Canis lupus familiaris: one gene and its partner. The protein of the gene in region 1 binds, or shares a complex with, the protein of each later gene. Links are inferred from orthologs where the notes say so. Each region holds a gene or a part of one and is shown on either strand. Other genes may lie near its edges. The genes, in order: TUBGCP5 and NME7.

What was found.
Region 2: TUBGCP5 (region 1) and NME7 share a complex: the UniProt entries of both Homo sapiens proteins name them as parts of the gamma-tubulin ring complex. The link is inferred for Canis lupus familiaris from reciprocal best matches to the Homo sapiens genes TUBGCP5 and NME7.

The regions. Positions count from the first base shown.
Region 1 is NC_049224.1:31,915,827-31,919,653, forward strand, and holds part of TUBGCP5 (gamma-tubulin complex component 5), read left to right. Parts: intron 1-1,838; coding exon 1,839-2,041; intron 2,042-3,827. UniProt on the Homo sapiens protein: Component of the gamma-tubulin ring complex (gTuRC) which mediates microtubule nucleation.
Region 2 is NC_049228.1:29,200,181-29,204,007, forward strand, and holds part of NME7 (nucleoside diphosphate kinase 7), read left to right. Parts: intron 1-1,855; coding exon 1,856-2,063; intron 2,064-3,827. UniProt on the Homo sapiens protein: Possesses an intrinsic kinase activity. Displays 3'-5' exonuclease activity with a preference for single-stranded DNA. Does not seem to have nucleoside diphosphate kinase activity.

The DNA of each region.
Region 1 (3,827 bases):
TTCAAATTATTATTTTTTCTTTTTTTTAGATTTTTTTTTTAATTTATTTATTCATGAGAGACACAGAGAGAGAGGCAGAGACCTAGGCAGAGGGAGAAGCAGGCTCCATGCAGGGAGCCCGATGTAGAACTCGATCAGGGACTCCAGGATCATGCCCTGGGCATGAAGGCAGACGCTCAACCACTGAGCCACCCAGGCGTCCCTCTCTTCAAATTGTTTCCTAATTTGGGTTTTGAGGATTATACCATACAAAAATGTGAAGAGCTTCCTCATTCTTTTTTACAAATTGAGTATTTAGTTGTGTGAATATACATTTAGGTTGTTTCTGATCTGCTATTGTCAATAGTGCTATAGTGATAACTGCTTACTTAATATGAAGCAAGCTATAGTATAAATTTTTTTTTTAAGATTTTATTTATTCATGAGAGACAGAGAGGCAGAGACATAGGCAGAGGGAGAAGCAGACTTCCCACAGGGACCCTAATGCAGAACTCAATCCCAGTACCACGGGATCATACCTGAGCCAAAGGCAAATAAATGCTCAACTACTGAGCCAAAGGCAAATAAATGCTCAACTACTGAGGCATCCCTGTAGCATAAATTCTTAATGGAATTCCTAGGTTAAAGAGAATGTGATGGCATATGTGATTTTGATACGTATTCCACATGGTTGCCTGCAATGTATGATTACCCTTGCCAACAGTGTGTTGTTAAACGAGCAATATATATGAGTATCTGTGTCCTCACAGTCTTGTTAACAGTGTGTTATCAACAGTGTGTTATCAAACAGATTTAAAATGGTAACCAGCATTTTTAGCTTCCCCCCCCACCCTCTACTTTTATTTTCAACTACTGCAAAAATATAGTACCCAGACATCCCAGGTTCCCATCACCCAACTTCCTCCAATAATTCCCACCTTACCATAATAATGGTATATAATAATTATAATAATTATAATATGATATGATAATTATATATATGATATGTATATGATAATTATATATATTATATATATATGATAATTATAATAATTATCAAAACTAGGAAATTGACATTGGAACAATACATTTATTGTTCTGCAGACCTGGCATGAGTTTCAGCAGTTTTGCAGGCACTTGCTATTTTGTGGGGAAGGGAGTGGTATCTTCGTGTATAGTTCTGTGACACTTTATCACATGTGACAAATATCACATATATTTGTAAATCCACTTCCATCTTCAGGATACAGAGCTCTTCCATCTCCATGAAAAAACTTATTCTTGCTCCCCTTCGTAGGAACCATCTCCTCATTAATATAATAGCCCACTGAAGTCTTTTTTATTTGCCCAGTGTAGTTTTAATTTGTATTCTTTTGTTATAATTGAGGTTGAATATCTCTATATATTTAGGAATCACTTTTATTTCCTTTCCTTTCCCTTGAACTGTGAGTTCCTTTATATATTATTTATCTTCTGAGTTTTCTTTCTTTAGAGAAATTAGCTCCTTATGATGGGAGATTAAAATCCACCACGCCCGGGCAGCCCCAGTGGCTCAGCGGTTTAGTGCCGCCTTCGGCCCAGGGTGTGATCCTGGGGTCCCAGGATTGAGTCCCACGTCGGGCTCCCTGCATGGAACCTGCTTCTCCCTCTGCCTGTGCCTCTGCCTCTCTGTGTGTCTCTCATGAATAGATTAAAAAAGAAAATCTTAAAAAAAATAAAGTGCTTTCTTTAAAAAAAAAAAAAAAATCCACCATGCCCTAGTTTGCCATGTCTTTCCATAAGTGACTTAGCATTTATATCCTTTTCTGAATGCAGATATTCTTCCTTGCTAAAGGGTTTGAGTTTTTGATATTTTGCAGACACTACAATAACTCTTGCAATAGTGGTGGACAAGTTGTCACCTCGACTGGCTCAACTCAAAGTTCTTCACAAAGTATTTAGTACTGGAGTAGCAGAAGTTCCACCTGACACTCGAAATGTTGTTCGGGCATCTCATCTGCTCAACACCCTGTACAAGGCCATTCTTGAATATGACAATGTTGGAGAAGCCTCTGAGCAAACTGTATGTAAGACCTTTATCCTAAGTTGTGTGACTCCCTTCTGTTCAGCCAAAGTAGTGGTAGATAGCCTGTCATAGCTCTTTGTAAAAATACTGCTTAAATCATGGTGTGTCATACAGTTGTTCAGAGTTTTGTTTTGTTTTGTTTTGTTTTAAAGATTTATTCATGAGAGACACAGAGAGAGAGATAGGCAGAGACACAGGCAGAAGGAGAAGCAGGCTCTATGCAGGGAGCCTGATGTGGGACTCAATCCCGGGACTCCAAGATCACGCCCTGGGCCAAAGGCAGGTGCTAAACCACTGAGCCACCCAGACCCAGACGTCCCTGTTCAGAGTTTTTAAATAAGCTTCTAAAATCAGCGCTACAGGAAACTGGCTTCTTGGCTTTAATCACAGAGATTATGGGGAGGATGCGGCAAGGAGAAAGCAAAACGTAAAAAGCAAGATGTGAAAAACATCTAGCTGACTTATATAGATATTTGCAATTACTCTTCAATAAAAATACAGATTATATAAGGTATCTAGAGTAGTCAAATTCATAGAAACAAAACAGAATGGTGGTTGCCACAAACTGGGAAGGGAGAAGCGGGAAGATGTTTAATGGGTGCAGAGTTTCAGTTCCGCAGCATACCCAAGAAAAACATTCACAACAATATGAATATATTTAACACTACTGAACTGTACACTTAAAAATGCTTAAGACAGGGGCACCTGAGTAGCAGTTGATTATCTGCCTTCAGCTCAGGTCATGAGCCCTGGGTTGGGCTCCCTACTCAGGGGAGTCTGCTTCTCCTTTTCCCTCTGCCTCCCACCTTGTCCTTGCTCTGTCTCTCTAGTGCTCTCTCTCTCTCAAATAAATAAAGCCTTTCAAAAATGCCTAAGATAGTATTTTTTGTGTTACATGTTTTAATTTAAAATTTTTTTAATTTAAAATTTTAATACATACCATTTTAAAATTTTTTTAAATTTTAAAAAATACAACTTAAAAAAATACAAATCTAACGGAAACTATAGTTTAGAAAGCTGCAGATTTCTTTGGATACACATTTTAGGTGTTGTTTCCTAGTACATTGATGTAACTTTGTTTTCTCACCATTTTGGTCCTGCAGTTCAGTATAAAAGTTTTATTTCTTTCAGCTATGCAATTTTTTTCCTACTGGGAAGTATAGTAGAATGAAATCATTTCTTCATTCTTTTTTTTTTTTTTTTAAGATTTTTATTTATTTATTCATGAGAGACACAGAGACAGAGGCAGAAACATAGGTAGAGGGAGAAACAGGCTCCCTGCAGGGAGCCTGAAGTGGGACTCAATTCCGGAACTCCAGAATCATGCCCTGAGCCGAACGCGGAGCCACCCAGGCATCCCTCATTTCTTCATTCTTAATGGACATTTTGCTAATATGTTTTAGATAGGGTAGCTGTTCCTCAGTTTGTACTATCCAACTTAAGACTGCTCTTGTAACCCTCTTGTAACTTTAATTCCCAAGAGAGTCCTGGTATGGACTACAGATGATATGGTCATCTTATCTTTAGGTGAGTTTTCATAAGGATTTTTATAAAGTATGTTTTAGATTTTTAATTTCTTAATTTCTGTCAAAAAGCAGAAATCCCATCACTTTTTAAAAGGTATTTCAGAGGGGTGCCTGGGTGGTTTAGTTGGTTAAGCATGTGACTTGATTTCAGCTCAGATCATGATCTCAAGATCATGAGATCAAGCCCCACGTTGAGCTCTATGCTGGGTGTGGAGGTAGCTAAAGATTCTCTCTCCCCTCTCTCCCTGGACCCACCC
Region 2 (3,827 bases), on another chromosome or scaffold:
GAGAGAGAGAGAGAGAGGCAGAGACACAGGCAGAGGGAGAAGCAGGCTCCATGCAGGGAACCTGATGTGGGACTCAATCCCTGGTCTCCAGGATCATGCCCTGGTCTCTAGGATCACGCCCTGGGCCATAGGCGGCGCTAAACCATTGAGGCACCCAGGCTGCCCGCATGCAGTAAATTTTATTAAATGAATGAATTAACTAGTTTTCTGGTATTAATGAAAGACACAACAAAAGATGTAGCTACAGTTGTTGGAGGTAGTCTCATAAAGCAGTATTTTTTATGATGAGGCACTACATTCTCTGCATTATTACATGCCACACTCAGGTCATAGGCTTAGTCTACTATGTGTTTGAGAAATCTGTATTAACAGGACATTAGGTTATAAGTTTCTTGAGGCAAGGATATCGCTGAATATTCTGATTTGTAGTAGGTAATTGTTAAGTGCTTATTGAATGGATAAACATGGATTTGTTCTCTTGATTTTGATTCCTTAAATCTATTTTTTTCCTTTTTTTTTTTTCTGCTAAGGCCTAGCAGAATATGTATGAAGAGGTCATGTGGGCCTTTTAGAATGGAGGTTATGAATACTTCTTTGTACATCCTGTTTTTTAGAAATCCTCTTCAAAATGAATTGAAATTATTTAAAAGTATGGAAGGGAGTCAATGATTGATATAAAATAATCAAGAATTAATAGGTATAAAAGGGTCATACTGTGTGATTTTCTCCAGGAGAATCCTGTCCTCTCTTATAGCTTGGATGAGAGAGAAGCATAGGCTTACTTTAAAAAGTATTCTGTCCCTGCCTAACACTGTGGGAGGAATGGTGTTACTTATTTCACGGTTAAATTTGTCACCGTTGCCTTGTGCATGTACAGAAGTGGCAGAGGGAAATGAACTGTTGCTTTTCATGGCTTGGGTTACTGTGACTCAGTGCTGGATTTTTAAAAAAATTTTCATTTATTTATTTATGAGAGATACAGAGACAGAGGCAGAGACGCAGGCAGAGGGAGAAGCAGGCTCCATGCAGGGAGCCTGATGCGGGACTTAATCCTGGGGCTCCAGGATCAGTCCCTGAGCCGAAGGCAGGCGCTAAACCGCTGAGCCACCCAGAGATCCCCAATGCTGGATTTTTAATCAAGAACCTGTATGTATTCTTTAATAACTTGAGATAAGAATATCCCAGAGTAGCTTTTATAGGATATTTTTTCATAAATATCAAATATAAATATCAAAAATAAAAGGATATTTTCCCAAGACCTATTAATGTCTGTTTTTTCTTTATCACTAAGACCAACTCAGTGTTTATTGACTGAACATTTCTGACATTCTTTGAATTCTAATCTACACAAAAATAAATTCTAACTGTAAATATAAGACCACTCTCATCATTTTCTCTATTATGCAATTTTATGTAACTTCAGTGGTAAACCACATGAAAATAAAAAGGAATTTCCTTCTGTACCTTTCAGAGCAATGGGAAAAGCATTAATCAGTAATATGCATTTTAAGTCACTGAAGTAGCCTTAAATTCAATGAAACACTGATTTCTTTCTTTCTTTCTTTCTTTCTTTCTTTCTTTCTTTCTTTCTTTCTTTCTTTCTTTCTTTCTTTTTTTTTTTTGGTAATGGTAAATGATTTGGCAATGCTAGTGATCTGTAGTGACTCAGACTACCACAAGACACTCAACTTATGAAAATTTTATTTTGCCAATGCATATCTCACTATATCTGGTAGTTCTGAGATCATAATATTAATGTGTGTGTTGAAATACTCTAATTGTAATATATCCTTATTAACAGAGATACGAGGTTGACAGAAAAATGAAGCAAATCAAGCTTTTATCTATTTTGTAGTGAGCTTATCCAGTTTATTACAAGTGGTCCTACTATTGCCATGGAGATTTTAAGAGATGATGCTATATGTGAGTGGAAAAGGCTACTTGGACCCGCGAACTCTGGTATGGCACGTACAGATGCTCCTGGAAGCCTGAGAGCCCTCTTTGGAACAGACGGCATAAGAAATGCAGCTCATGGCCCTGATTCTTTTGCTTCTGCTGCCAGAGTAAGGTGTTTTAAAATATTTTAATTCTGTTTTTGTTTTTGTTAGATGTTTTATGTCAGAGTAAAGCATATCTGTCATGGCTGACTTCGGGTAGGTTATACAGATGATCAAGGAGTAGAGAAAACCTTTGACCCTTTGCCTAGGATTAAAGTGTTTCAATAATATGTTTCTTTTGTGAACTGGTAACCTGGTCATGGTCAAGATAAGTGTTCTCCAGTTAAAATACTTGTCATCTCAGTTTACATTCCAAAGTCATTTAAATTATTCAGGCTCATCAATGTTTGAATTACTGACTTAATGTGAGACCAGCTTATGGATAGTAAATATTCAGAAAGGAAACATCATTTAATATATTTTATTTTTGACTCAGATCTAACACTATCTTCAAGTTTAACATCCTTTTCCTGTACAGAGCTAGTGTTCATGAAAAAGTCTTTATGCTTCCTACAATTATTTCTTATTTTTAAGTCCATATAAATAAGGTGTAATACTGGGTTTATGCTGATGTTGATTTGATGAAGTTGCAAGTTTATTCTTAGCATCACAACAAGTTTCTCATCTGATGTAAGATGGCTTTTAGTCTGGTCATGCTTTCGTTAAAATAATATTAGACAGTTTTTTAATAATTGAATTTTCCTTACAGTTCCATCAAAAGATCCTTTCAGCAATTCCTTCAAATTAGACTTTGAATCTGATTGTTGTGGTCTAGGTCACTGTTATATTTTATTTGTACTACTGCAAAATAGTAGTAATTCTTCTAATTCTCTTTTCCTCTTCCTTTTCCTCTTATACTCAATTTATAAAAATTTTACCTTGCCCACATAAAATTAACTAGGCCAAGAGTGATCTTTTAAAAACAAATAAGATTAAAAATTCAATTATTAAAGACTCCTCAGTGAATTTTTATTTCTTTTATAATAGAATCACAAGCTTCCAGAGCTTCACCTGATCTGATTCCCATCTGTTTCTCCAAATTTATCTCCAAGTAGTGTCTCCCTTATTCACTGTATCCCAGGTTCACTGACCATCTTACTATTCCTTGAAGAGTGTATTTTTGCCTGGTCATTCAGTTAACAGGAAAGGAGGCAGAATAATTGAGTGGGAGTGAGGGAAAGAGGGGCTGATGAGGTCACAGAAATAGGGGAGATAGCACATGGTTTTGTAGGCCATGGTAGTATTTTTGGCTTTTTCTCTGAGGAAAACTGGGAGGTATTGCAGGGTTTTAAGTGGAGGACTGATATATTTCACTTGGTATATAAAAGGGCCACCCTAGCTACTGCAATGAGAATAGACTGTAGAGGATTAGAGTAGCAACAGGGAACCCAGTTAAGAGGCTCTTAGGATAATCCAGGGAGATGATAGCCTGCACCAGGATGGAAGCAGTGAGAGGAGTATAGAGATACATTTTAAAATGCTTTTAATGGTTGAAGGTCAAATGAGCAAGATCTCCTTCCAGATTGAATGTAGAATATGAGAAAAAGAGAGAGCAAGGATTACTCCACAAAGTTCTTGGCCTGAACAACTAAAAGGCTATAATTTGCCTAACCTGAAATAAGGAAAACTATGGCTAGAGTCAGTGTAGATGGAAGCTCAGGAGTTACATTTTGGACATTGCAGACTTAACATGCATGTTAGTTATCAAAGTAGAGAAATGGTAAGTAAAAAATCTGGTTATGCGAGTTTGGAGTTGGGGAGGGAAGTCTGAACTAGTGTCATAATATGGGGTCACTGGCACCTGGATGGTATCAGAGTCATGAGACTGGT